Linked DNA regions of Anolis sagrei. The protein of the gene in region 2 interacts with the protein of the main gene of each other region in a pairwise test. Links are inferred from orthologs where the notes say so. Each region holds a gene or a part of one and is shown on either strand. Other genes may lie near its edges. The genes, in order: ZNF639 and PNKP.

Region 1 (15,856 bases), on a different chromosome or scaffold from region 2:
AATTTAACAATTAGGATAAAGTCACTAGATGTTCCACATTTACTAATATCCTAAATGCATTTCTGACTCAAATTCTAATTATTGAAACAAATTTCCTTCTCCATTTTAATTGCTGTTCTTATTTGTTTGCTAGTTTTTTCATTATTTCTCATATTTCCAGTAACTAGCTTTTAGCTTTTAGCTTTTAGCAGCTAAATGTCAAAAAAACCAAGATTATGGCAACAAGAATGATTGACAACTGGAAAATAGAGGGAGAAAATGTGGAGGCCGTGACAGACTTTGTATTTCTAGGTGCAAAGATTACTGCAGATGCAGACTGTGGCCAGGAAATCAGAAGACGCTTACTTCTTGGGAGGAGAGCAATGTCCAGTCTCGATAAAATAGTGAAGAGTAGAGACATCAGACTGGCAACAAAGATCCGCCTAGTCAAAGCCATGGTATTCCCTGTAGTAACCTACGGATGTGAGAGCTGGACCTTAGGGAAGGCTGAGCGAAGGAAGATCGATGCTTTTGAACTGTGGTGTTGGAGGAAAGTGCTGAGAGTGCCTTGGACTGCGAGAAGATCCAACCAGTCCATCCTCCAGGAAATAAAGCCCGACTGCTCACTGGAGGGAAAGATACTAGAGACAAAGTTGAAGTACTTTGGCCACATCATGAGGAGACAGGAAAGCCTAGAGAAGACAATTATGCTGGGGAAAGTGGAAGGCAAAAGGAAGAGGGGCCGACCAAGGGCAAGATGGATGGATGGCATCCTTGAAGTGACTGGACTGACCTTGAGGGAGCTGGGGGTGGTAACGGCTGACAGGGAGCTCTGGCGTAGGCTGGTCCATGAGGTCACGAAGAGTCGGAGACGACTGAACGTATGAACAACAACAACAAGCTTTTAATATTATTTCCCCATTTGTTGGATGTTAATATTTCATCTGCCATTAATAAATCCCAGAATAACCCCTAATGTGGTATTAATTTCCCTTTCTTGTGTCCTAATAATATTTGCATCTAAGTGCAGCTCTTATTTGTTTTTACTCTTCCCCTCTCAAAATTGTACTACCTTAAAATTATTCCATTATATATAGTTTGTACATCCAAGCTACCAGTACTAATATCTTTATTTCCTAGGAATCTTAAATAGATGCATAGGAGTAAGATACCAGGTATACCTATTCCAGGAGTATGCCCATATGTGTATTTCTCCAAAGAGCAAAGTAAACAGTGGCTGACTCCAGTATTCCTCACTGAGCATGTGTGAACAGCAACACAGAGAAAATGGAAGAATGGATCATCTTTGCCTCTCTAGCTACCTTCAGCATGTCTTTAAAAGCTATCTATATATCTCATCACAAAAAATAAGTCATAATAAAAGTGTTGGCTGGAGAAAGAAAAAGCTACTCATGAATGTATTTTAAGAAGCTTTGTTAAAGTCTAGAATGGCTTAAGGAATGTTTTTGTTGATTTCTCTAAAACCACAAGACAAATCGTTGTCTCATTTTATAAATGCACATTGTTAATAAAAATGCAGTAACATGTTGACCTGTTGTTCTTTCTTCTGAAGACATTTATCCCTATTCTTTTCATGTTATTTCTGCCTTTGGCACAAAGTACAGAATACTGTTCTATCCTCTCAGCCATCAATGAATTGCATGCGTTCACCTGCCTATCAATACATTGATTTTATAAACTGAATTATGCCTGTAGTACAAGCTGCAGCTAGATTTTGGCTCCAGACAACCAGTTATTTTAGTTAACTCTTGGTATTTAATCAAGTGCTAATTTCTTACTGTACAAATATGACAAGGAATTCAGTTGCACCTTTGAAAATAGGAAGAATAGAATATTTCCTAATTTTTCTTTATCAAACACAATTGCATCAAAGGATTCCTGGATTACTTTTTTCCTTTTTATGTTAAAAAAGACTAAACCAGCTATGCATTGAGTATTTACTGCTGAGCATTGTATGTTGCGATCACCCCTTAGTCAAAATATATTCCCTGTGTCTGGAAGTTCAGCTCCCAGATTTCCCAGGCTAGTGCTAAGGATTACTGGGATTTGGAATTCAAAATATCAAAATTTGAGAGCCTACATGTTTACATTACAATTTAATACACAATTTAATACACAATTTAATAAAATAATGTGCATTATTTTAATATTACTGCTGCTTGTGTGTGTAGGGCAGGACAAAAGATACACAGCCCCTTGGCTTTCATTGTGTGAAAATCAGGTGTGAAACCGCAGCAACAACAACAATTTTTATTTATATCCCACCACCATCTCCCCAAAGGGACTTGGCTGGGGATGGTGACGGCCAACAGGAAGCTCTGGCGTGGGCTGGTCCAGGAGGTCACGAAGAGTCAGAAACGAATGAACAACAACAAGGCACTCCAGGGTGCACATATAACATACAACAGGTAAAAACAGTACGAAAGTATAAAATAAGTCACGTAAGGTTATAACAACAACCCCTGTCAACACATCTAGAATAAAATCAAAATAATATGGTTTTAAAACAACAGTAGATAAAATTAACTGCAGTCAATTCAGAAGGTGCCAAGTGTCAGCTTCATATGGGCCCATTCAGCCTACTCAAGGTCAAAGGCGTGTCTGAACATCCATGTTTTCAGGTTGAAACGGAAGGACTGAAGGGTGGGGACTAATCTAATCTCTTTTTGAAGGATATTCCAGAGCTATGGAGCCACCACAGAGAAGGCCTTCTCGTCCCCACCAGCTGCGCTTGAGACTGTGGTAGGACCTCATTGAGTCGCCTGTTAAGGGCTGAAAAATGCGGTATAGAAATAAAGCAAATAAATAAATAAGGGCCTCTCCTGTCAATCTCAGAGCCTGCGCCAGTTTGCTAAAAGAGATGTGGTCTCAAAGATAGGTTGGACCTGAAGCAAGGTACACTTAGTAATACAAACTGAAATCAGGAGAAATTACACTCCTTTTTTTCCAGCCATGTATGTTTCTACATTTCTATGACTCTTGTCTGGTTTCTGCATTCTCATATCTAGAGTCCCGGGATTCCTAACCATGGATTCCCAAACTATGTTGGACTATTGCTACTAAAAGCCATTTCCATTATGGTTAATCTTCTGAGAGTTAGGGATTAAAGCTTGGAAATGAATGAATATATTCATGTATAAATTGATGTCGCTCATCATTCAAGGGCGGATTTTGATATAACCCATGGACAGGTTAAGCGTCATTTTATGGAGAAGGGAATGCACCACTACTGCCTTGGGCCCACCACCACCTCCCCGGCATTGAAAAAGGGCAGAAGCGGTGAACTGGTGGAGAGAATAGAGGGGATTGGCAGTTCTTTTAGGTTCTCCCAGAATAGACTATGCTTTTGCCTTTTTACGATTCTACTCAGAGAAAGGGATGGTTCCTTTTTTATAAGAGTCAAGGTTCAGTATTTATACTGACTCATGGACCAGTCACCCCAGATGTTTGGGATCTTTGCCTAAAATTTCTGGACTTATACATTAGTATATATATGGTACATTATGTATTAATATTGCTCTAGGCCTTTAAGCTTACCTGATACGATCAGAGTGGCCATCAGTGGTGCCTTTTCAGAACTTTAGGGCTGCTCGTATTGCCTGGCATGCTGCCCTCTTGACTTCTAACGCTCTCTCTGGTTGGCCTGACTGATAGACAGCTACCTGAACCTGAACCTCTGGCTCTGTCCCATCCTGATCTAACAATAAATCTGAACAGAAGAATCCATCTAGCAAACACCTTAGCCAACGGCGTGCCCGAGCTTCCTGTTCTGCGTCCAGACCCGGATCTGGATCCACCTGCACGATGACCCCAACCAATGCCACTGGATTATAGTAGATGCAGTTCTTCAGCTTGTGTAGCATTTCTGCCAGTCGGTCCAGTTGGTCCCAGGACTTTAGGAAAGGAGCTCTGCACAGGAAAAAGATGAGCTGGGAATAGATCCTTTCTTGTTGCCTGGAGCAGCCATTTTCATTGGAGAGGTTCCTTTCAGGCCTTTGGCTTTCTGCTTGATCACAGCAGATCACTGAGCTAGTCACATGGAAAGCTGGAATGGGGAATTTTGCAAACACTTCCTGGCGGAAGTCCTCCACCACCGCTTGGCTTTGGAGCTCCCCAAGCAAGTGGACATTGCCTCCCATCATGAACTGAAGGGTCACAAACTCCAGCTCCAGCTTTTCTTCAAGGGGAAGGTCAGATCTGGTGACAACCCCCAACAAGTCCCTGACTAGCTTGAGCCCTGCTTCTTGATCTTGGCTGTTCTGCCCTGCCAGCTTTCCATGGACTTTCCCGGCATTCTCTGCAACATCTCCCCAAGATCTCCCAACCTGCCTCAAGATCTTTTTGTGAGTTCCTCTTGACCAACTCCTGAGCACTTCCTGGTCTGCCCCAACATGCTCTGTGTTTTCAATCAGGTTTTCGGTAGGTGGCTCAATCAATTCTTCGTGCCTTCCTTGGGGCTGCTCCTTGATCTTTGGCCTGGCTCCTCCAGCTACATCCATGGCAAAGTCGTAATCCCTCCCAATGTTGTCTTCGATGTGTGGTTGAGCAGCTTCATCAAGCACTGCAATCTCTTCCTGGGATCTCTCTACAGTCGTATCCGACTCAGTTTCATCCATCTCTGTGATGAGCACCTCAAGCGTTCCATTGAGCTCTGTGATGTTTTCCTCAGCGTCTGCCTCCTCTTCGATTCCTCCCTCCAGATCCATTCCCTTGAGGCGCCTTCCTCCCCCCGGTTGATTTCCCCAGATCCTCCTGACTATGACTGGCTTCCTGTTACCTACACCTATGGCCTCCCTTGTGTCACAATACACCTTGACCCGACTCATTCAATGCACATTGAGTTTGGTTCAGCTTATGAAAGTCACAGCTATCCCCTTAACATTGTCATGAAATATGATGTATGGTTTGAATGGAATTGTATGAAAGATGTATGGTTGGGGGTCTATATAGTTTATAAAGATGCCATTCTAAGATTGAAGCACGGAAAACTGAGAAGGAGGTGAAGAATTCATGGACGATAATTACAAGTTGTTGGTGGGAACTGTGACAATGATTGTTAAACTTTGGGTAAATAACAACATGTTTACATTTTCAGAGACAATGGCTTGTTAAGTTAAGGAAATGTTTACAAAGTTCCTTACATTAAAAAGGAAGTTAACACAAGGCTCCTTATGTTTACCTACACCAATTAAGGAGAATCAATATCTGCCAGGAACTGGGGAGCCGGGATGTTTCAGGCTGGGAAAACATCATTTACAACTTTGGAACAACATCGGCAAGAAATATTGCTGTATAAGATACCTTATTACAATTCCAAATTTGTTGGAGATCGGAGAAGTCTAGCCCATCCACTGCTCTTCTCCATGGGAAGGAGAGAGAGGTGGTATATTTGGGAGTGGCAGATCTGCAATTAAAAGCAGAAGTCTGGTCACTTGCTTCTTTCTCGGGGAAAGAATGCATTTTGGAAGTATTGGAAAAACAGCAGATTTGCAGGGGGGGGGGAAATCTGGCCTAAGAGGTATTTTTCTCCGTGAGATGAGAGGAAAAGAATGGTGAAGTATGCATAAGGAGGATTGAATGTGTATGTGTGTGGTGTGAATGCTGAGTAAAAATGTAATTCCCCTTTGTTAGCCAATGTAACTGTAGGTTGTTTGTGGATTCAATGTAATTGTATGGAATCTGTACATCTGTATGGCCAATGTCATTCTGATACACTTTCTCATACAGTAAAATTGCAATAAAAAGAACCTATGCTTTAAAGTTATTGAAAAGTTATTCATAACAACATGGGTGGCTGCTATTGTATTCCTTGAAATGATAGATGGGCCTCCACCTGGAGGCCCAAGTTCCCATCATAACTTGAAACATAGCCCTCATCATGTCTCCTCTCAGCCTTCCCTTCAGCAGCTCTTTAAGCAGCTCCTCATGAAGCTTATTCTCCAGACCGTTGATCATTTTAGTCGCCTTCCTCTGGACACATTCCAGCTTGTCAGCATCTCCCTTAAATCGCAGTGCCCAGAACTGACCAAAGCAGAATAGAGGGGGATAGCACGACTTTCCTGGATCTAGACACTAGACTCCCACAGTCTAGTGTCTATTTATTTTTTGAAATGATTTTTTTAGCTGCATGACATTGTTGTCTCATGTTTAACTTGTTGTAAACATGGGTAGCATTTCGCTATTTTTTGTGGTGTTATGTACCACTGATACATCATATTATACCAATTTTCCTTTAAATCCTAAGAGTAAGTAAATTTTAATTTTTGGTTCCATATTTTTCCCAGTCTTCCGATGTAACTGTATGCCTAATATTTGCTGCCTTTTTAATCATGCAGTCTTTCACTTGTTCTGTTTCTGTCGACCATTCTCATAATTTTTTTTTATATTTTAGTTATTAGCTTCTTATGTGTTTTGTCCCAGAAAGTGTCCTTCAAAAATCTTATTTTCTTGTCATTATTGTAGTATTCACTTATTTGTCTGTATGGGAATTAAGAGATATTCTTATCTAATTGTGTAAGTTCTTTAAAGGCTTGGTTACAAAGCCACATTTTCACTCTTGTGGAAGGTCAGAAGAGAGGGGGCTGATCTAACATCGCTGGGGGGAGTTCCACAGTCGAGGGGCCACCACTGAGAAGGCCCTGTCTCATCTTCGCCAATTGCGCCTACGAGAGAGGCAGGACTGAGAGCAGGGCCTCCCCAGATGATCTTAAACTCCACAGTGGTTCATAAAGGGAGATACATTCGGACAGATAAGCTGAGCCAAAACCATTTAGGGCTGTATAGGCTAAAGCCAGGTAGCGGATTGGCAGCCAGTGGAGCTGATACAACGGGGGTTGTACGCTCCCTGTACCTCGCTTCAGTGAGCAATCTTGCTGCCACTCATTAGACCATTTGTAAGGAGGAAAATTTTGAGGGACCGCAAGAAGATCCAACCAGCCCATACTTCAGGAAATAAAGCCAGACTGCTCATTGGAGGGAAGGATATTAGAGGCAAAGATGAAGTACTTTGGCCACATCATGAGAAGACAGGAAAGCTTAGAGAAGAAAAAGGAAGGAAAAAGGAAGAGGGGCCGACCAAGGGCAAGATGGATGGATGGTATCCTTGAAGTGACTGGCTTGACACTGAAGGAGCTGGGAGTGGTGACGGTCGACAGGGAGCTCTGGCGTGGGCTGGTCCATGGGGTCTCGAAGAGTCTGAAGCAACTGAATGAATAAACAAACTTCTGAACAGTCTTCAAAGGCGGCCCCACGAGAGCGTGTTGCAGTAGTCTGTTCAGGATGTAACCAGAGCGTGGACTACCATAGCCAATATATAGGATTTCCATTCTGTTTTTTCAATATTTCTCTGTAGGTGAGCCACGTTTCTTGTCCCAAGTCTCTTCTTACTTACTTACCTAGGCGATCCTTCATTGTCCGAGTAAGATTGTCTTCCAAGATCAGTGTACTGGAGGTGGGGTACGTAGGTGACTGTGGAGCCCAATTCTTGATCTGCATGTTCTCCCGCAGTGAGGGCATTGGTTTCCAGGTGGAAGGCGGTCTTGGTCGGGGTTGGCTTGACGCGCCTTCCTCTTGGCACATTTCTCTCTTTCACCCTCCATTCATGCCTCTTCAAATTCTGCAGAACACCTGACCTCCAGCTGGAGCGCTCAAGGGCCAGGGCTTCCCAGTTCTGTGTCTATGCCAGAGTTTTTAAGGTTGGCTTTGAGCCCATCATTAAATCTCTTTTCCTGTCCTCTAACATTCCGTTTTTCGTTCTTGAGTTCGGAATAGAGCAACTGCTTTGGGAGATGGTAGTCGGACATCCGGACAACATGGCCGGTCCAGCAGAGTTGATGGCGGAGGACCATCGCTTCAATGCTGGTGGTCTTTGCTTCTTCCAGCACACTGCCTTTTGTCCACTTGTCTTCCCAAGAGATTTGCAGAATTTTAAAGAGGAAACGCGGATGCAATCGTTCCAGGAGTTGCACGTGACGTCTGTAGATAGTCCACGTCTTGCAGGTGTATAGCAGGGTTGGGTGGACAATAGCTTTATAACCTAGCACCTTGGTATCCCTACGGATGTCCCGGTCCTCAAACACTCTCTGCTTCATTTGGAAAAATGCTGCACTCGCAAAGCTCAGGTGGTGTTGTATCTCAGTGTCAATGTTGACTTTTGGGGAGAGATGGCTGCCAAGGTAGCAGAAAAGGTCAACATTTTCTAATGTTACACCATTTCTAATGTATCTCTGGCATTGGAGAGGGATTGGCTGGTGACTGCTGGAAAAGCACTTTGGTTTTCTCCATGTTCAGTGATAACAGGCCGAGCTTCTCGTATGCTTCTGCGAAGGTGCTTAGAGTGGCTTGTAGGTCTTCTTCTGAATGCGCACAGACGACGTTGTCATCAGCATACAGGAGTTCTATAACACGTGTTGTTGTAACCTTGGTTTTGGCTTTCAGTCTGCTGAGGTTAAACAGCTTGCCATTCGTCCGATAGAGAATTTCCACTCCGGTGGAAAGCTTCCCGTCAACAAGGTGAAGTATCAAAGCGATGAAGATGGAGAATAAAGTTGGGGCAAAAACACATCCCTGTTTGACACCGGATTCCACCTTAAATGGGTCACTTTGGGAGCCATTGCTGTCCAAGACTGTTGCCATCATGTCATCATGGAGGAGTCGCAGGATGTTCACAAATTCACAGCCAGCCCTGAGGTCAAAACCTTCTAATGTCAAGATTTTTGTTTTGTTTCGTGTCGACCAACCTTTAGCTCAAGCCAAAGGCCTCATAATATAATTTAAGATCTGGTAATCCAAAGCCACTGCTATTTTATTTTTGAAATGATTGTCAGCTCTCTGACAACTGTATATCATTCCTTGTTGAGGAGAGAGTGTGGCCTTTGAGGCCTTTCCAAAGGGAGCGCCTCCTCCTTTATGCCTCAATGAGCGTGCCTAGGGGGGCGTGGCCAGGGTGACAGGAATTCGTAGCCTTCTCAACCGCCTGGTGCGAGGGGGCGTGGCTAGCTGCAGAAGCCCCGCCCCTTTCTCGTGACAGGAATTTGAAGCCTTCCCAACCGCCTCGTGGGGGCGTGGCTAACTGCAGAAGCCCCCGCCCCTTTCTCGTGCCAGGAATTTGAAGCCTTCCCAACCGCCTCTTCCGGGGAGGCGTGGCTAGCTGCAGAAGCCCCGCCCCTTTCTCGTGACAGGATTTCTAAGCCTTCCCAACCGCCTCGTGTGAGGGGGCGTGGCTAGCGGCAGAAACCCCGCCCCTTTCTCGTGGCTGGGATTCGAAGCCTTCCCAACCGCCTCGTGCGAGGGGGCGTGGCTAGCGGCATAAGCCCCGCCTCTTTCTCGTAACAGGAATGCGAAGCCTTCCCAACCGCCTCGTGCGAGGGGGGCGTGGCTAGCGGCAGAAGCCCCGCCTCTTTCTCGTGGCTGGGATTCGAAGCCTTCCCAACCGCCATCCTCGCGGGTACCATTCCGAGGTACGGCAAGGGGGCGTGGCTATCAGCAGTAACCACGCCTCCTCTCTCCCCATTGGCTGTGCGTGGCCTGCGTCCGTCCCTTTCTGCTCTCCCCCTCGCCCTCGGCGCACGTCTCTTCCGTTCCGGCGTCGCTTCGCTTGCGGCCTGCTCAAGGTGAGTCCTGCGGCGCTTCCTCTCACTTCACGAGGCGAGGAATTGAAGGGAGGGCCCGCTGTGTCTTTATTTGGAGCTTAGTGACTGCCTGTGGACATTTGATTTTGGTCGATATTTGTGGGAAAGCGGGAAGAGCCATTCCTCGGACCCAGTCCTGTTATTATTATTATTATTATGGCTGCTGTTGATGATTCTTCAAATGGTTATATATATAGATATATAGATGATATATTTGAACTATATTATTATATATACGACGACTTATGATATACTATAATATATTATGTAATACGAATACTGGTAGTGTATGATATATATTGTGATATAATAATATAGTACAATATAGTAATATATAATATAAAATAATAAAGAGTAATATATATATATATATATGTATATATAATATAAAATAATAAAGAGTAGAGACATCAGACTGGCAACAAAGATCCATTGCCTGGTCAAAGCCATGGTATTCCCTGTAGTCACCTACGGATGTGAGAGCTGGACCTTAGGGAAGTCTGAGCGAAGGAAGATCGATGCTTTTGAGCTGTGGTGTTGGAGGAAAGTTCTGAGAGTGCCTTGGACTGCGAGAAGATCCAACCAGTCCATCCTCCAGGAAATAAAGCCCGACTGCTCATTGGAGGGAAGGATACTAGAGACAAAGTTGAAGTACTTTGGCCACATCATGAGGAGACAGCAAAGCCTAGAGAAGACGATGCTGGGGAAAGTGGAAGGCAAAAGGAAGAGGGGCCGACCAAGGGCAAGATGGATGGATGGCATCCTTGAAGTGACTGGACTGACTTTGAAGGAGCTGGGGATGGTGATGGCCGACAGGGAGCTCTGGCGTGGACTGGTCCATGAGGTCACGAAAAGTCGGAGACGACTGAATGAACGAACAACAACAACAACAAATATAATAACTGTATATTATATATTCTAAATCTTCAAGGCATTTTTGCCTTGAAAACCCTTCCTCCCGGATCTGTTTTAACTATCTGGATTTTTAAAAATCCACTTTATAGAGTGCCTGATCTAATAGAGAAAACCAATGTCTTTTCTTGTCTTGTACAATATTAAATATTGACAAATTTATTACCTTTTATCTATATAAAAATAAACATGTAATGTTCGAGTGTGGGATTAACATAACTCAAAAACACTGGACGAGTTGACACAAAATTTGGACACAATACACCCTAACAGTCCAACAAGTGTCCATCACCCATAAACACACACAGACACAAAACCCCAGTGGAACAGACTTAAAAAACCTAAAAATACACCATATATACTGTATATTATACACACAGGCATATACTTATGCACATGTACACATTCATACACACATATATCCACATTTATACATATATACACACAAATATGCATATAGACAAGCACACACATATACACAATATGCATGTACACATATAAACAAACAAATACACAAATATATATACACACACACACACATATATATATATATATATATATACGCAAACGCACATATATACACAAATATATATTTATTTACTTCATTTATATACCGCTTTTCTCAGCCCTTAGGCGACTCACAAAACACATATACACAGACTGGGCCACAGCAATGCGTGGCAGGTGACGGCTAGTATTACTAATAATATTGCAGTATAGTGTAGTCTAATAATATATTATATATACATATAATATAGATAATATAATGTAATATAAGATAATACAATAATGATACAGCCTAATAATTTATATGTGTTATGGTAATAATATAATATATTATATATACATATAATATAGATAATAATATAATGTAATACAATATAATCATACTGTAAAATTATAATAATATATTACATATAATACTACTGTATACGAACCCACATGATCTCTTTGATCATCTGGGGAGGCCCTGTTCTCGATCCCACCAGCATCGCAGGCGCGATTGGTGAGGATGAGAGAGAGGGCCTTTTCGGTGGTGGCCCCTCGACTCTGGAACTCACTCCCTAAAGACATCAGACACGCTCCAACTTTGGCAGTCTTCAGGAGGAAGTTGAAGACGTGGCTGTTCCAGTGTGCCTTCCCAGAATAATGATCCCATAGCACTTTGTCCTCCAAAGCCCTTTACATTTTCTAAGTCTGCTCGTATGCCCTTTCACAAACACCAGTATCAACTTCCGTTCATGTCCCAGCATATTTCCAATTTTAACTTTACATTTGGCCTCCCCTCTGTTTTTAATTGTGTGTTATTTTATTGATAATGTTGTTTATCTTATTGTCTATGTTTTTAAATTGCTTGTATTGTTGTTTTATTGCTTGTATTGTTGTTGTTGGGCTCGCTGGTGTAGGCCGCACTTAGTCCCTTGGGGAGATGGTAGCGGGGTACAAATAAAGTTAATAAATAAATAATAATAAATACTGATAATATATAATAATTTATAATGATAATACTGTTTTCTTTTTGTATATTTGTATATTTTAAGCTGTAATGTTTTTGATTGTGAGCCGCTTTGAGTCTCCGAATGGAGAGATATAGTGGGACATAAATAAATAAACCTGATCTGTGAGTAACTAGGCATCAAACTGTGTTGTGAAAGTAACCGTAGCTACTCAAGAATAAGGCATCTTTCCAGATGAGTATACTCAGAGGTAATTGTGCGAAAGAGTGCAAACATAATATCCGTCTTGCCTGGAAATCAAGCACAAAGGTCAGAGATGAGAAACAAGGTTCGCAGTGATTCAAGAGGCCTCCTTCAGACAGCGATAGGGGGGTGAAAGGGAGGTGTTTATTAAATCCATGTTCAGAATAAGAGAAAAGGCTGTGTGTGTGTGGCTATACACTTAAAACATTGTCTAAAACAGAAAATGTCTAAGAGCCACACTAGCTGAATTGTTATCTAGATTTTCTTTTTTTGGTTTGTTTCTTTTCCAGTGCCATCTTGTCATCTTCCTTTCATTTTTTTTTTCGGGACCTTTTATAGAAAAACATCTGCCTTTTTTCTGCCAAGGTTTTTTTCATTGATTTTATTTTAATTGAGATTTTTTCCATCCTCCCTTAGTAGAAGTTTTTATTATAAAAAGATATCTGCAGCTGTCATATCTATTAAAGCAAGCATCAGTTATGTCACTGCTTTCTCCATACTCCCCCTAGTTCCAAAGTGAGAGCTGAGTCCTGATATGGTTGAAATGGACTAGGCCCCTTCACAGTATCAGTGTAGATTTCCTCTCTAGCCAAACAGAATTTTCATGTTGATGTCCTTCCACCAGCAAGAGCATGATCTTTTAGCTTTCTTTCCAATTTTTGCAATCTGGCATTGTTTATGTTGATCTCCAATGAACTCTTGCCCATTCCTTCAGTGTCCTTGTAGTTTGTAAACTAAGAAATTACAATACTATTTTGCCCGTTGATCTGTATACAAGAATTCAGCCTCTGAGAAGCTTTTTTTGATGCAAATGAAATAAAGAAAAGGTGCACACACTCAGCTTTTGTTTCAGAGATGAAGGAAAAGAATCTTCTTCGTGGTTACTTCTTGTATTCTATATGTAATGTACTCTGTCACATCTCTGTATTTGCCAGAGTATTCAACATTTATAAATACTTCCAGAATTAGAAGGGATTGTTTGTGCATGTTTATACACAAAAGAATATGTGCAGCATAAAGTGTTATAATCTGAATTAAACATTTGGGATTTGTTTGTGTGATTGTGTTTCTCTCTTTTTAGATGCTTCATCTGTTGTCAGAAGCTGTGTAGTCAACAGTCCTTCTGTTCTTATTTCACTTTTCGGTAATGAAGAGTCCATCTAATAAGCTGAAAGACCTGATTATATAATCATACGGCAGAACACAGTTAAAAGTGGTGTACCAAGTGGGTTTTTTTTTAATCTGGTATGTTTTCAATTATGTTTTTTATATTTATTCTATGTATTTTAGATGTATTTTAATTGTTTTTACTTTTCTAATAGAATATTTTTAGCTAACCTTCTGTTTTATTTTAAATTGTATGTCACCCTGGGTCCCTTGGAAAGAGAAAGGCGGAGTATAAATGAAACCAGATACATAAAAGAATAATTAGTGCCTCCTAGAAATTAGCTAAACTGGCATAAAAGTCTCACAAGTGTGCCTTGTGAATAACGCCCTAAAAATTGTGGATTTGTCATTTAAAATTGGGAGCCATCTAGATGGGATTGCTATACTGGAAGGAGAGAGGCTTTTTCAAAATTAAAACAAACCGTTAAGGGAATTGCTACCCTCCCTGTAGACATCAGACAGGCGCCCTCCCTTATGACATTCCGCAAGAGACTAAAGACGTGGTTGTTTGAGAAGGCGTTTGACTAAGTGCTACAACAATTGGCAATGATGATTGGAACGGAATATGGATAACGAGATTGGATTGTGATTCTATGATGAGACTCGTGAATGATTTAGTGTAATTGTATTATTGATAGTGATGTTGTTGTTGTTTGTGATATTGCCTTTATTGTAAATTGTTTTTTTATATATGTTGTACACCGCCGTGAGTCGCCCTAGGGCTGAGAACGGCGGTCTACAAATGCAGTAAATAAATAAATAAATGGCAGATAAAGATGCAAATGACATTTTGTTCCCATTGATTTTTCATCAATGTTGGGGAACACAGGCTTGTTTTGCCACAGCCATTAACGATAAAACCTTTTTGTTATATTTTGTTTCATTGTTGTCTTTTTAAATCTCACAGTGATAGATATTCTGGGAAGGTTTTACAGAAACCTTACATATTTGTGTTCAATAAGCTTTAGAAGAAAAATCAACCCAAAAAACCAGAAATGACTTACAGGTCAATGTGTACTTTAACTCTTGTCAAAAAGTAGGAATGATCCCCTAAGCAAGAGCTTAATCTGTTCTGGGAGAACCTGAAAGAAGCAACCAGCCTTTCTACTCTCTCTGCCATGAGGCCACTTCTAGCGTTTTTGGATGCTTGAGTGGGAAATGAGGGCACTGACCAGAGGAAGCTGGCTCAGAGTTGGCATTGATGCTTTCTCCTCTCTGCAGAATTAAATGACATTATGACATTCCTACTGTTGTTTCTGTTGCTGTGTAATTTCCAGCGTTCTAGCTCCTGCGTATCAGCAAAAGCCAAATTAATTGGATATGTCATCCATCCTCTGAAACATTAGCCTAAATCAATTTGTGGATCTCAGCTAGACTCCATGAGCACTTACTGTGTAGATCCCATTGATTCATCCGGTCTGTTTTAGTTAGGACTGACAGTTGGAGTCATACCCCTGTGACTGACAGACCAGTCTCCCAAAAATTCAGGTCATCTCTGTATGAACAGTGAGTCCTTGATGTCTTCTGGGATTTGGTTTTAGAACTCCCTGTGGATACTGAAATCTTTGGATGGTTAGGTCCATTATATACGTCCTAATAAAATTGTGCCCCTTATATAAAATGGCAAAATCAAGGTTTGCTTTTAGATATTTATAATATTTTCAAACAGTAGGTGGTGGAATCCGTGGATGCAGAATCTGTGTTCACAGAGAGCATGATGATCTCTCGCCTTAGTGCTTCTTTTTAGACAATATTGGATCTTGCTAGCAGTCAGACTAATCATGTTGGTTAATTACTGGGGGTGTCCTAATTCCTGATCTTGGTGGTTGAGACAGCTTATCTGTATCTCTTCACATTGAAAGAAAGAGCCTTAACAAGTTCTTTCAACTGTTTCAGACTGAAGCAAAATGAATGAGCATCCGAAGAAGAGAAAAAGGAAAACTCTACATCCTTCCCGTTATTCAGGTTAGTTAGGAACAGATATGTTTGCTTACTTAAATGGTAATGCATTTTACATTTTCTTCTGAGCATACTAGTTAAAGATAGAAATGGATAGCAGAAGTGAGAATTACGGTAACTGTTTAAGTAAGGATAGGCAATATCTGTGTGAGGCTAGACAGCACTAGGAGCAAGCTTCATGCAGCCCATGGAACGCTTTTCCCAAGCCTGGTTCAAGCAAGGCACTAGTTTGGATTTATATATTGTTTTTACTACACTGTTAATTTAAAATGAAAGTTTATTGAATCTGTAAACTATGTGTAGAGAGCCAGTATAGTGTAATGTTTTGAACACTTGGGCAGCCTAGAGCAAGTCGCTCTCTCTCGCCCTCAGAGGAAATCAGTGGTAAAGCCTACCACTTAGGGTTGCCATAAGTCAGAAATTATATAAAGATACAAAACAAAAATATGGGGGCTGTTATATATATATAGTTTGTGTATATCAAAATAC
Region 2 (15,637 bases):
GGGAAGGAATGCATGTATAAAACAGTCAAAATTGACAGTGGGCAGAAACAGATTGGTTTCACTTGATTTCACCCTGTCCATCTCTTCAGTTCCCTTCTACCCTACTCCTGGCTTCTACACCCAGTCCTACTTTTGGGAGGTCTGTTGAAGACACTGACCAATTATCTTCCTAAGGTGGCTTTTCTTCATAGTAAAAAATATAGTTGCCCTGTTTACAATAACAAGGTTAACACAACACAAATAAACAAATACATAGTAGCTTTATACACATAGCAGGCTTTATACACTGGAGCTCCACACAGTAGGCTTCACTCTCATATAGATGCCTCCTCAAAAAGACTGACAAGTTCCCTCACTGAGGCAAAACTAACTCTAACAGGCTTTGGCCTAACTCTTTCAGTGTTTGATTCACATTTTGTAATAAAAAATACCCAGTTAATATTGAATATTTCTGACACATTTCTATGTTTATAGTTAGTGTACACATGGCATATACAGACATTATCCAATGCATTCTGGTTCAGCATATCTACTAGAAATGGTTAGGGTAGATCAGAATCTTCGTAATTCGGAATAAATTCTGAAAGATTTGCTTTTTGAAGCAATTTCGAAGTTTTTAAGGTAATCGGAAGTCCCTTTGCCCTTCCAAAGCTTTTTCTGCCATTTCTGCTCCGAAGCAATAAGTGAGTCGGCAATGATTCAGCGTTTCCCCACTACTGGTCCCTGGCCTTGGCTCAAGCGGATGAAGTTCTTCTCTCTCTCTCTCCTCTCCCCTCGCTTCTGGCAAGCGTTTTAAAACAGAATGGTGAATTTCCTCTCTCTCTCCTCTGAGTGCTTCACCGGGTGTGTGCTCTCAGCCCTCTTTCCTCCACGTGCTTGCCAATGCCAGGACGCCTCTCTCTCCCAGCATTGGGAAGTGCGCGCAGGAAGAGGCCCTGGCAGTGTGCATCCAGGGGCCCTGCTCTACTGCCCGGCCACTAGGCCTTCTCAGCCAGTTGACCTGACATGGTGAAGCCACCTCTGGCTGAGTGAAGCGGTTGGCGAGTGTGCCCGTTGCTGTTTCCCATCTCCTTCCTCATGCTTCTTCCATCCTTCCTGGGTCCAAACGGAGCGTCTGGCCTATGCCACGTCGCTCCCAAAGGTCGCCTTTGGCCTCCTTCCCCACACTGGCCTGCACTGAGCATGGAGGATGCAGCGGGGAGAAGGACCTCTGCTCATAGTGATCTGCCTGCCTTCCTGCCTGCCTAAACTTCTGGGGCCAGGTTGTGAAAACTCGTATTATTATTATCATTATTAGTTGTTGTTGTTGTGTTGTTGTTCATTTGTTCAGTCGCTTCTGACTCTTCGTGACCTCATGGACCATCCCACACCAGAGTGCCCTGTCTGCCATCACCTCCCCCAGCTCCTTGGGGATACCATCCATCCATCTTGCCCTTAGTCAGCCCCTCTTCCTTCTTCCTTCCATTTTCCCCAGCATCATTCTCTTCTCTAAGCTTTCCTTTCTTCTCATGATGTGGCCAAAGTACTTCAACTTTGTCTCTAATATCCTTCCCTCCAATGAGCAGTCAGGCTTTATTTCCTGAAGTATGGACTGGTTGGATCTTCTCGCTGTCCAAGGCACTCTCAGAACTTTCCTCCAGCACCACAGTTCAAAAGCATCTATCGTCCTTCACTCAGCCTTCCCTATGGTCCAGCTCTCAAATCCGTAGGTGACTATGGGGAATACCATTGCTTTAATTATGCGGATCTTGGTTGCCAGTGTGATGCCTCTACTCTTCACTATTTTATCGAGATTTGTCATTGCTCGCATCCCAAGAAGTAAGTGTCTTCTGATTTCCTGGCTGCAGTCTGCATCTTCAGTAATCTTTGCACCTAGAAATGCAAAGTCTGTCACAGCCTCCACGTTTTCTCCCTCTATTTGCCAGTTATCAATCAGTCTGGTTGCCATAATTTTGGTTTTTTGAAATGTTTAACTGCAACCCAGCTTTTGCGCTTTCTTCTTCCACCTTGATTAGAAGGCTTCTCAGCTCTTCCTCGCTATTATTATTATTGACGCTGGGTGACCATCTGGAGTCTGGGCAAGCGTTTTAAAACAGAGTGGTGAATTTCTTCTCTCTCTCCTCTCTGCTCGCTTCTGCCTGGAGTCTGGAAAGCATTTTAAACCAGCGTGGATGAATTTCCTCCCTTTGCCCCCCCCCCCCCTTTTCTGGAGTAAAACAACTACTTTCAAAGTAAAGACCACTCACTGAAGCAGGAAATAAGACTTTCAACCCATTATTCAGAATTCGGAAGTCTCGGAAGTTTCAAAAAGTTTTGAACATTTTTTTCTATGAAAATCGAAATTGATTTCCGAATCAAACCACCTGCGACCTTTATATCCGAAACGAGTTTTGAACAAGTTTTTTAAATCAAACAAGCCTAATATCTACTTTCTTTAAACCTTATACATTCACTTCAAAAATTCTCATTCACAACAACAGTGAACATGGTCAGAAATATTAAATATTAACTGGGTGTTTTTGATTACAAGTCAAGCCCTGAAAGAGTGAGTAGGCCAAAGCCTGTTAGTGTTCGTTTGTCTCAGTTGAGAACTCAGTCAGTGTGAGGTAAATCTCTGTCTCAGAGTAAAGCCTTGTGTGTGGAGCTCCAGTGTATAATATTCATCTCCTTTCACACTGTTTTTATGATATGTTTTCACGCAAAGCAGAGGCTATTTCAAGTCTCTCTTGGCCCATCTTCCTCACAAGCTTCTCTCTGAAGAAGAAGGGCAACAACACTTAGAACTTGAGAGTTTAAGAAGGTCATTAGAGAGTGCAGTAAAGGGGTGAGGGGGAGAGAGTATTCATTTCTTCCCGTCCCTTCCCCTGTAGACTCACATCCGAGAATGTCACACGGAATACCTCAGTGCTGTCAATGTCCCCGCCACAGCCAAACTCAGCTCCCAAGTGGTAGGTGGTCTCACTTTCTGTCAAGAAGAAAGAAAAAGGACAGTTGACACTATTAGCATTTTATATATTTATTTATTGACAATATTTATATTCCGCCCTTCTCATCCTGCAGGGGACTTGGGGCAGATCACAGAACACACCTACGGTAAACATTCAACACTGATTACACCATGACAAGACAGACAACAGGTAGAGGTATATATAGGCTTTTTCTCATCATTCGGAATAAAATCCCGGAAAAACCCCCACATATAAAAATAGTAGGGCTGGCCAAACACGGAAAAATTTGTTTCTAAACTCGATTCGTTTTTGGGGGGTTTTTGCGTTTCGATTTTTAAAAGAATTCTGAAATTTTTCTTTAATTTCGGAAATTACGAAACAATTATGAAACAATTACGAAACAATTACGAATCGATTCGTTAATGGCGGACGCGACCGCGCAATACGCTAAAAAACCTCCAAATGGGACAGGGGGAACTTCTGAAACTTCCCTCTCCCTCTGTTGTTGACTGTTGGTGTGATATTTATAATTTTTTTTTCACTGATTAAACAAACAACAACTATAAAACTTGCCCCAGACATGCGGAAATAATAACGAAACGAATACGAAACGAATACGAAACAATTACGAAAAGAATTGAAAAATTCGTTTCGATTTTTAGTTGCTCCTGAATGGTTCGTTATCAATTCGTTATAAAAAAAATAACGAATTTTTAATGAATTACGAAATTAACGAACGAAACCACCCAGCCATAAAAAATAGCATTAAAACCTAACATCAAATTAAAAACCTAGCATCAGTAACGTAAACTTGACATCAATAAATTAAATTACACATAGTCAAACAAAATTCTATAATAATATAGATCTAAACAAGACATCCATAGCAATGTACAACAGCCATCAAGGGTTCACCAAAAACTGCAGGTTGGTTATGTGATCGTTGGGCTGGTGTGGACCAGTGAAGCCTAAATAAAAATAATTCTCAACCAGAGGCTCGGCAATGATCTCTCAACCATCTAATCCTCTTCCTCTCCATATGCTAGTATGCAAAAGTAGATCTTCAGTTGGTTTTTAAAGGAGAGGAGGGAAGGGGGCAACTTTATTTCTATAGAGAGGGAGTTCCAGAGGTGGGGAGTAACCACGGAGAAGGCCCTCTCATTCCCACCAGCTGTGCTTAAGATGGGGGTGGGACCAAAAGCAGGGCCTCCTCTGATGACCTGAGTGCCCAGGCTGGTTTGTAAGACAAGATGGACCCGAGCCATTTAGAGCTTTCAAAGTGATGACCAAGGTAATGTGGGGCTGCCACAACATGGGAGTGGATGTCTCTCTGTACGGAGCTCCTGTTAGCAATCTGGCCACAGTCCAATACATTTTTTTAATATAGATTTTTATTGAATGCTTTTCTGGTTCTACAAATAAAATATAGATGATAGGGAGGGGGAGAGGTTATGGGGGTGGGAAAGGCTCATGGTTGGGGAAGGAATGGGGACTTATATGTGGGGAGGGGGTACACACAAAGGGGAGAGTAGGGTTATGGGAAAGGGAGGGAACATCTTGACTTCCCAAACTAATTCTCCACGTGTGCCAGGAAATAAATTGGTGAAGTAGGAGTAGAAATCTCAGTTCTTTTCTATATCTTCGGCTTCTCTCCTGCTAATAATCAAATTTGCTCTGTTTTCTTCTTCAGTTTAAAGTCTTCTTCTTTAGTTTCAATTGTAGCCACCTTTCTTTGTGATCCTCTCTTAATCTTCAGTCGGGTATTCGACTCAGCAAATAGTTTCCAATCTGTTTTCTTTATTGATCTTCCTTTTGATTCTTTGGGACAGAAGGCCAGTTTGTCCATGTCTCTTATTTTGCTGGCTTTAATTAGCCATTCTTCTTTGGATGGAAGTTCTTTTGATTTCCAGATTTTCGTGTACACCGTTCTGGCTGCCGTCATTAGGTATGTGAACAGAATGCCTTTATTTTGATCTAGATCCGTATCTTCATCTGTTATCCCTAGAAGGAAATATTCTGGTCTCTTCTGAATGTTCGTCTTCAGCATTTTCTAGTATTCTTCTTGTACTGATTTCCAGTATATTCTTGCTTTGGTACATGTCCACCATAGGAAAAACGTGCCAGTATGCATGACCAAATGTGCAGCCAATATAGGTAGACCCATAAAATTTAGAGAATGGGAACAGATCTGGCTCAAAAAGATAAAATACACCTACTCAACTGACCTGAAAGAAAACTGGCTGAAAATGTTCTATAGGTGGTACATGACACCTCAGAAACTAGGACTAATGTATAAGAAAGCGCAAAACAAATGCTGGAAGTGCGGATCACATACCGCACTGGCTTGGTGTGATTCACACTACAGACAAGAGCCTTGGCCATGGCTTGAGCTACATGTGCTTTGTCCTTGTTCCATCTTTTAGGCTTTCCATTAAAACATCTGGCTCACCCCTGGGAAATACAATGCTCTGCTGTGTAGACCTGGTCTCTTGAGAGCATGATTTAAACCAAGATGTTTTAAGGGAGAGTATATGTTTTTGGGCAACTGAAATAACACTTCTGAAACTGTGCTGGCACGGCTGTGCCAGGAGATTTGAATGTCTTTTCTTGCACTGTTGGTTTGTTTGAATTTCATCTGGGCCATGCATTTTGCAATTGGGTAGCTTTCCCCAGGTTGCAATCAGGGCCAATAACTTATCAATCATCATTAGAGCCTTTATATCTGCCCCTTTCCCCAGGTTTTGGAGGGAAAAGGGGATTTTCAGTTCCATCTCACAAATTGAAGCCTTACAGTAGGACATGTGGGTTTCTCTCTACCCCACCTTCGCTTCTTACAGCTCTGCCGGGGTAAAAGGTTTAGGTTTACAGCCAGCTTTGCTGGGGTTAAAGAAACAGATCTACAGCAAGCTCTGCCGGGCCAAAGATATAGAACTACAGCCAGGTTTTGCTGGGAAAAAAGGAAAATCTCTACAGTTTTGCTGGAGAGTAAAGAAATAGTTCCATAGCCTTCGTGGAGAAGCTAAAAGGACACCAGCTTGGCAGATCTGCAACAACCATTGCCTGTTAAGGGACCACTCGAGCTATCCATAATGCAACTTGGAGCCGGGAGTTGGGGCCTCATGCCAGCACGGTTAAGAAAGATTGCCCAAGGAGGGGTCGGAAGGTTTCCCTAAAGAAGATAGGAGCAGTTTATCAAGCAGTTGCCTTTCTCTTGTTGGCAGATCAAGAAAACTACTAGTTTTAGAAGATTATATGGCATTTTATTCATTTGTTCGAAAATTTAAACCTTAATAAAGAACTTTGTTGGACTTACTTTGAGCCTCTACAGAACTTTGTTTTGGGAAACCTAAGGGACCCTTTAGCTGGGGAGGCCCTGCTCGTGATCCCACCTACGTCCCAAGCGCGCTTGGTGGGGACGCGGGACAGGGCCTTCTCTGTGGCGGCCCCCCGACTTTGGAATGCCCTTCCAAAAGAGCTTCGTCAGGCCCCTACTCTAGCAGTTTTCAGAAGGAATCTAAAAACTTGGCTGTTCCGATGTGCCTTCGTAGATTAGGAATCCCCACCCCAAGTCCTAGAAGCACTTTAGCACAACCAATGCTGCTGCACACCACACTTTAATCCTACGTTCCTCCTGCCATCTCAGCACTTTTAACCCTGTACCCCATTGCGCTGGCCGAACCAGTTTTAATAGTGTCTTGATGTATTGTTATTGTGGTTATTTTGCTTAACTGTTTGATTTGCTTTGTTTATTGTTGTGTTATGTTTTCTATTGTATTGTGTTTTGAGGCTTCGGCCCGTGTAAGCCGCATCGAGTCCTTCGGGAGATGCTAGCGGGGTACAAATAAAGATAATAATAATAATAATAATAATAATAATAATAATAATAATAATAGCTGAGGCACCCCAGCGTCCCGTTAGGCATACAGAAAGCACGTCCTATAAACAGACATTGTCATAGGCCCAGCGCGCGAAAGCACAGAAACTGCTGTTTTTGTGCATTGGCATATCTTTGTTCCTAACAGTACAAAGAGATATCTAGGTATATTGGTCTAACAGCTGAGAAAGCTAATTGCCTTGCATGAATTGTCTCTAAGGAAGTGGATCAGGGAACTGCTTTGTAGGAATCACGAATGCAGGTTATATAGGAATTGTGGACACAAAACAAGGTTGTGTTGTTGTTTTTTGCACTGTCTGGCCATGTTCCAGAAGCATTCTTTCCTGATGTTTCACTTGCATCTATGGCAGACATCCTCGGAGGTTGTGAGGTCTGTCAGAAACTAGGAAAATGGGATTTATATATCTGTGGGAAGTCCAAGGTGGGAGAAAAAACTCTTGTCTGCTTGAGGTAGGTGTGAATGTAGCCATTGAAATCCACAAGCATGTGGACAATTTCAACAGAAAGGAAGAAGAAACCATGAAAACAAACACAATCTGGCTACCAGTATTTTAAAAAACTCTAAAATCATAACAGTAAATAAAGAACAACACTGAAAAACAGAGGAATTCCAGACAAACAACCAAGGCCAACCCCCGCCCCCCCCCCCCCCCCAATTTTCAGGTTAAAAAAACCCCTGGTTTGCTCATGAATTTTAACTGGTTAACCAAATCCCCATGCTAAGTCTATGAGACGCAAAAAATTAAGAGTCCCTCCAGAACTGCAAGCACTATCTCAAGCAAATATTGATTTATTCACACTGTCATTACTTGCAGCAATAGCCCATGTAGCGAAGCAACCAAGTTGGGGGGGGAGGGTTGAATGCTCTCATTAAGGAGGCCAGACTTGGTGGAGGTGGTTGACAGGGGCGGAGCCGGAGGCTATTGAAGGCTGCTCTGCCCCCTGCTGTGCTCCTTGCTTCAGCGTGAGCTAGGAGGCAGGTTTCACCTCCCCCATCTTAACCCCCCCCCCCCCCCGAAATTTTTCTGGCTATGGCCCTGGGGCCAACTAATCACCTCTCAACAAAAGATTCCCCGAGGCAATAAGAAGCCAGACCTTGAAAACTGCTAGGTCATTAAATGCTAATCAAGGCCAATTGCTACATTCACGCTTGCCGCCAACAAACAAAAGTTCTTTCTCCCACCCTGGACATTCCACAGATACATAAACCCTGTTTTCCTAGTTTCTGACAGACCTCACAACCTCTGAGGAGGCCTGCCATAGATGTGGGCGAAACGTCAGGAGAGAATGCTTCTGGAACATGGCCCGAAAAAAGGGGGAGGGGGAATGCTGCGCATGCGTACTTACTTACCAGAAGAGGCTGGATGGGGTCATCGGCGGGGTCCAGGGCGGGGTGGGAGTGGCGGCGGGCTGGTGGATTGCCGGGAGCAGGGATCGTGCCTCCGGGCCCCAGTTGTTGGTTGGGCGGGGAGGAGGGGCCTCGGGGGCGGGGAGGAGGAGGACTGGCAGTGCCCCCTCCTCGACCTCTCTCCCCGCCAGGAGGGCCCGGAGAGGTCCCTGCTCACGCCGCCTCCCTTTTTGTGGCCCGCCCCTGGTCTTGGCCCCACCTACATCTACTATAGTTTCTGGTGCCTCCCTCCTCCTGCCCAGGAGGAGAGGCTGGAGGGGGCCCTGTTTCCTGGGCTGGGTGCGAGGCAGCCCCGGCCTGCTCCCGCCTGGGTTGGGCTCCCCCAGGGCGGGGAACAGGCGGGGCTGCAAAAACTGGGGCTCCTTGCGGGCCACTATCTCATTTGTTTTCCGGGCCCAAATTAGGGCCCGGTTCTCCGATGCCCTTTGAGCGCCCCGTTCTCCAGGGGCCCATATGGGCCGCCTTGGTGGTGAAGGTTTGGATATCAGAGGCATCCTTGACTAGGCTGCAGACTGAAATGACAAGGAGGAGAGGTTTTGAGGGAGGGGGGTTGGCTGTGATTGTGATGCGGCAGGAGGGATAGTGACAGGGGGTTTAGGGGTCCCATCCTCTGAGAGGGTGTGCTCAGTCACTTTTCCTTACAGAGTTTGGCCATGGCCTTCCTCTGAGACAGAGAGTGTGTGCCCTGCCCAACTCCATCCAGGGCTGAAGGGGGGGGGGGGTTAGACCCTATTCCTTAGGGAGCTTTTCCATGGCCTTTCTCTGAGGCTGGGAGAGTATGGCTCATCCTCTAACCACCTCCTCACATTGAGAAATTTCCCCTTGACAGGGCACCCCAGCCTCTTTCCTATCATGGAGAAGCACTGAGCTCATAAAATGTTCCAGGGTTGGAAAAAGGCCAATATCTCCTGAAAGGAGGGAACTCTGACCAGGGCCCAGCAATAATAATAATAACAACAACAATAATAATACGTTATTTATACACCGCCCTATCTCTCCAAAGGGACTTAGGGCGGTTTACAGACAAAAGAACCAAGTGGCAAACACTCATTGCCAAAACAATCAAACACCAAACAGCAATAAATCACCTGGAGCAGGCATGGATCCCATGGAAAGCAATGGTTTTAGCTTTGATCACTTTCTCATGCATCCTCTGTGATTTGGGACAGAACCATAAGATCCCAAGAAAAAAGTGGTTTTACAACACCATAAAGTAAAAATATCAGAAAATGCCAGGGACCAGAAGGAAGGAGGAAGTCCTGATGGCTCTTTGTCATTGAGGATGGAGCGACAGCACCCCCCTGTGGCTGGATTCGAGCCTAACTCCCAAAGGTACCAAAAAGCCAGATTCAACACAACACAACATGCCTCCTTTTTGTTCTGTCTGTCTTTGCCCTGACAATGTGTACTGTGACTTGCCATGAGTCCCCTTGGGGAGATAGGGCGGAATATAAATAATAATAATGATAATAATAATAATAATAATTTTAAACTGGTGTCAATCTCCTTTAAGGTAAGGGGCTTAGGGCAGGGCAAGGGATCTCTTGATTTTCGGATATTGTTGTTTCCTCTGATTGAAAAAAAAAGTAATACTGACCTTGTGATGGATGTAAAAGATGAATATATTGTCAGCACTTAATAATAATAATAATAATAATAATAATAATAATAAACAACTTTATTTATACCCCGCCACCATCTCCCCCAACGGGGACTCAGGACGGCTTACATGAGGCAATGACTCTTGGCAAAGGAACTCCTTGGAGGCTGGGCCCAACCCTTCAATGTGTGTTGTTAATGGAGCTATAGGTGGGCTGCCAATATACAGTTCCAGTGAATCTAACCTTGGTTCCTGTTTGTCCAGTACTGATGGATACTTTCCCATTTATAAAGTCTGAGAACGATAGATTGCGATATCTCAATAGTGTTAAACAGTGGAAGCAGCCGTTTACAATCAATGCTTGGCACAGAAACATTCCCACACGATGGAGGAAAACTGAGGTTATTGCCATTTTAAAACCTGGTAAAGATGCCTCCAACGCCAAGAATTACCGACCAATGTCTCCCTTATGTCATCTGTATCCTTAAGAGATGGAAGAGAGTTACATGCATTTTTCTTGATTTGGAAGCAAATCCGGAGAGGCACAGTTTGGTACACCTTTATTGTGTGGATTCTGCATTGCAAAATCGGTTTAGAGCAGGGATCCCTAAACTAAGGCCTGCGGGCCAGATGTGGCCCTCCGAAGTCATTTATCCACTCCCTGTACTAAACTTTAGGCTTAGGATTGCACTAAGTCTGAAATGACTTGAAGAGAGACAACAAAAAATTGTTCTTCATTTTAAAGATTGTTTGTTCATGTTTCTTCACACTACAAAATGAAATCTGTGCAGTATGCATAGGAATTTGTTCATTTTTTTCACACTATAGTCTCCCCCCCCCCCCCCCCCACTTCTGTTTCAGGCTGTATCTATTCTATAGAATCAATGCCGTTTGAGATCACTTTAACTGTCATGGCTCATGGAAGGTGTACCTTTATCAAGTCTTTAGCTGTTACTGCCAAATTGTGCTGGTACCTCATCCAGCTACAAATCCCCCGGTTCCACAGCATTGGGCCATAGCGGTTAAGTGCTGTCAAGCCGCTATAATTCTACAGCGTAGATGCACCCTCCGCCTTCTTCAAGAACATTCACAATTTATATGGTGCCTTCTTTTTCCTCCCCCATCCCTTGTCTGAACAGCTTGGATGTGGCTGTCCACTGTCTTAATGCACAGTTCTACCACTTGGATGTGAAAGTCTCCCAGTTTTTCCAAGGCCTGGTTGAACTGAAGGGTGGCCTGGCCGAGACCTGCGAGTCCCTCGCCTCCTTGAATGAAGTCTCCACATGCAACCAGAAAGAGCTTTATGCATTGATGGTGAGGAAAGGAGGATGGGGTTGGCCTAGATTCATGATGGTGAAGCAATGACATGCGTATCAGCACTGACATGCGTAGCCATTTTCAATGACATGTGGCCGTATACGGCTGCATACAGAGAAGTATGGGGTCGCATGCCGAGAAGGACATTTCATCCTTGGCTCCTGCACAGCCAGCTGCAATAGCTAAGGATTAAAGTAGTGTAGACACTCTGTGCTGGAGGTCTGTAGGCCAAAACAATAGAACTTCGGCAGAGATCATCTTGTTCTGGGACTTCTGATTACCGGTAGGCCATTAGGGGATCTTTGACCTCACTACTGTCCAGTGAAGCAGGGAACAGCGGAATGCCGTGGGGGACGCATCTCTGGGGGCCCTGTGATCACTGTTATCAGCAACCACATAACCACACCAACCATCATCCAATCTACTGTTCTGGAGTGTTGAGTCAGCTAACTGACCATCATTACTGAGATACAGGGGGAGACTGGGAGAGGCAAGGGCCTATGCTATGGGTGCCATTTCCCACCATTAGAAATAGCAGCAGATGAAGTTAGTAGCACTTGCTTGGGTTTGAACTGTACAAGATACCAATCTTCAATTGAAGATTTCACCTCTCTTTCCCTCTAGAAGCCTATATCAAAGGAACCACATGAACTATAACATTATTATTATTATTATTATTATTATTATTATTATTATTGAACTATATGAAATAGAAGGCAAATGTACATGAACTGCAGTAACCTCTTGGGCAATCTCTTGAGCAATTCCAGATACCCCTTCCACGCCTTGTGTGAGAACCAGAGATGGGACATAATCTGGGCAACAAAGAACCTAACGGGAACACAGCAGGAGGCCATGAGCCTGCCACCCAAACTTCCCTTCTGGGCATCATAGGTATCCATGGGACAAAAGTCTTCCACATTGCTTTTGCTTTGTTTCCTTCAACAGCAGATCCAGAACTGTCTAGGACTTTAAAGGTCATAACACCAGCACTTTGAATTGTGCCCGGAAACAAACTGGCAGCCAGTGGAGCTGCTGCAACAGGGGGATTGTCTGCTTCCTGTAACCAGCCCCAGTGAGCAACCTGGCTGCAGCTCTTTGGACCAGCTGAAGTTTCCAAGCACTCTTCAGAGGCAGCCCCACATTGAGCGTGTTACAGTAATCCAGACGGGATGTAACTAAGGCGTGTACCATTGTGGTCAGATCTGGCTTCTCAAGAAACCAGCACAGTGGGCGCACAAGTTTTAATTGTGCAAAGGCCCTCCTGGCCACTACAGATATCTGGGCCTCCATAGTGCTCACTGAAAACTCTTGTTTTGAAACATTGCACGTCTCAAGGATCCTGATTTTTGGTAAATACTTTATTTCAATGTTTCAAAAATAATATTTTACAGAATATCAAAATTAACAAAATAACACGACTTCTTGCTTCTGCTATTTGCTACTGTTTCCCCCCTTTTTTTTGTTTCTATAAGAGTTCACTAGCACCACTAGAAAAAAAGTAATTTGTATCTGAGGCCCCTTCAACACTGCCATATAATCCTGATTATCAAATCAGATAATCCACATTATCGGCTTTGAACTGGATATTTGTCCACACTGCCACATAATCCAGTTCAAAGCAGATGATCTGGATTTTATATGGCACTGTAGGAGGAGCCCTAAAGTATTTGGCTCATTGGGGAATGATCCCCAACCATGAACAGAAAGATGTGTAGCTTCCTCTCTGATTCATTCTAGAAGAAGGATAACTTCAGGCTTATGTGGTCTTCAAAATGAAACAAAATTATGATCTCAGTGGTCCACCAATGTGGCACAAAGGACATAATCAGTGTGACTTGACAGTGAAGATATAACTGGAGTTTGATTTCCATTGCTAAGTAGACAATTCCCGATGCTTCAAAAGGCACATGTGATGAGGTCCCAAGTTATGTGATCCTAGAGTATTTTTGAACTGCCTTGCTTGCAAAGGACCTGATCCAACCAAGGTCCTTTCCAAGAATATTGGCAAATAGAAGGCAATAGTTGAGCTAACAATAATTCCTGCTCACTGCGATATTCCCTTATAATGCTCTCCAGTCAGTTAATCAGTCCCCATTCAATGCATCTTCCTGTCACAATGAGGTTGCCATGGCTGCTGTGCTGTCTGAGTAGCAAATTTAGGATTAGGTATCAAAGGCCAGGCAGTTGTGCTTAAATGGCAACTTGGGCTATGTACACATATATTTTCAGAGGTGCTTGTGTGGATTGCCATAGAAACACGGGAAGCTTCTTTACAACAGGAGATATGGGGCCCTTGCACACAGTCCCCTATCCCAGAATATCAAGGCAGAAAATCCCACAATATCTGCTTTGAACTGGGTTACCTGAGTCCACACTCAATCCCACACTAATGTGGGATTTCATGCCTCGATATTCTGGGAAATTCGGCTGTATGGAAGGGCCTATGACTGCCATGCATACATATTTGAAAGGATGTTGTAAAGGAAGAGGGAGCAGGCTTGTTTTCTGCTGCCCTGGAGACTAGGATTCGGAGCAATGGATTAAAACTATAGGAAAGGAGATTCTGCCTGAACATTTGGAAGAACTTCCTGATCTGCCTCGGAGTGCACTGGAAGCTCCTTCTTTACAGGCTTTTAGCAGAGGCTGGATATCAATCTGTCAGGGGTGCTTTGATTGTGGCAAGGGGTTAGACTAGATGGCACATGTGGTCTCTTACACCTCTATTATTCTAAGGGCCATTCCACACAGCCATATAAACCAGAATAACAAGGCAGTTAATCCACAATATCTGCTTTGAGCTGGATTATGTGAGTCTACAATGCTATATAATCCAGTTCAATGTGGGTTTTTTTTACAGCTGTGCGGAAGGGGCCTAGGTCAAACCAATGATCCAGTAGTTGTGTACTCTAGATTTTTTAATTGGATATTCTCCCAACATGGAATGTTGCAGTCCAATACATTTAAAGGTCATCAGATTAGGAAAGACTGACCTGGTGTGATTCATACTACACACAAGGGCATTGGCCATGGTTTGAGCTGCATGTGCTTTGTCCCACCTTTTAAGCTTTCCTTTCAGACATCTGGCTTACCCGTAGGAAACAAAATGCTCTGTTGTGTAGACCTTTGATCTGATCAAGCAGAGTTCATCTTACATTTCTGACATTCCTTCATCTACTATGTCTACTTCTTATAGGAGAAACCAGGCATTGAACTGGATACTCTCTGAGCACAAAGATACGTGCCCTTAGATCCTCAGTCATTCTCATTCATATTACACAAATATAAATTATACATTGTCAAAGAAAATCTAACAAAAGGCAAGCAGACAAGAATACATATTCATTCAATTGCACTGCTGTTGTGTTGAGTTGTGGTTTTAAATTGTCTATATCACATTTATTCTCACAGCAGCCTTTAGAGGAGGTAGATCAGTCTTGTTTTGATTGCAGAAATGGAAAGAACAGGGTTTTTGCAGCATGTGAGTTACTTCATAGTCCTTCCTTCCGTCCAAACATAAGATGTTTAGAATGGTCCATCAGAAACATACACAGAATGATCCTTTAGTTTTTGCATGTTTGGTTTCTAGGTAGCAAATTTTCAAGTGAAGGTTGGAGTGTGTAGATGAGGGTATTTGATTCTAAATGTCTTTAATCAGGACTGGAGTTCATATAGATCTTTTTTTTTTTTTGTCGCGTCAGGAGCAATTGCTCCTGTTGTGAGAGAATTGGCTGTTTGTAAGGACGTTGCCCAGGGGACGCCCGGATGATTTCTGATGTTTTATCATCCTTGTGGGAGGCTTCTCTCATGTCCCCGCATGAGGAGCTGGAGCCGATAGAGGGAGCTCATCCACCTTTCCCGGGATTCGAACCTGCGACCTGTCGGTCTTCAGTCCTGCCAGCACATGCTTTTAACCCACTGCGCCACTGGGGGCTCTAAGTATCTTCATGATTTGAAAAGTGCTTATCTACTGGGCCTAACACAGCCCAAAGACATTGTAGAATTGCCTTTCCATTGGCAAAAGCACATGGGACATTTTGCTTTTCACACACACACACACACTGTTTTAAAAATTCGGTGGGGATAAGAGTGCAGCAGTGAGGTGTAACTGTCTTTCTGTGCAGGGTGATGTAGCCCTGAAATCCCGAGGGATCGATTGCTACAGATGGCATGAACTGTGCAGTTTCTTCATAAGTGCTTGTGGCAAATCCATTGACAGCCTGGTGTCTGTTTGGTTTCCACAGGTTTCTGACAACGAGACATGCTTGAGATTTTGTAAATGGGCAGAGGCCAGAGCAATTTATCTCTTTTGAGTAAATGCTAGCCCTTCAAGAAGTTCAGTCTGCAAGAAAAGAGAACATGTGAATGGTAAAATATCACACTGGAAGAACTGCACCTCTAATGGATCAACAAAGCTAACTCTAATATGTAGATCAACAACGTTATGGAAGTATCAAGCTTGTGGATTT

What was found.
Region 1: the proteins of PNKP (region 2) and ZNF639 interact in binary tests that used the Homo sapiens proteins (3 or more experiments, as listed by UniProt). The two-hybrid records come from large-scale screens. The link is inferred for Anolis sagrei from reciprocal best matches to the Homo sapiens genes PNKP and ZNF639.

What each region holds. Positions count from the first base shown.
Region 1 is NC_090023.1:257,413,852-257,429,707, forward strand, and holds the start of ZNF639 (zinc finger protein 639), read left to right. Parts: upstream 1-9,402; 5' UTR 9,403-9,611; intron 9,612-13,322; 5' UTR 13,323-13,486; intron 13,487-15,304; 5' UTR 15,305-15,315; coding exon 15,316-15,373; intron 15,374-15,856. UniProt on the Homo sapiens protein: Binds DNA and may function as a transcriptional repressor.
Region 2 is NC_090026.1:28,270,445-28,286,081, forward strand, and holds the start of PNKP (bifunctional polynucleotide phosphatase/kinase), read right to left. Parts: upstream 8,384-15,637; 5' UTR 8,195-8,383; intron 2,966-8,194; 5' UTR 2,877-2,965; intron 1-2,876. UniProt on the Homo sapiens protein: Plays a key role in the repair of DNA damage, functioning as part of both the non-homologous end-joining (NHEJ) and base excision repair (BER) pathways.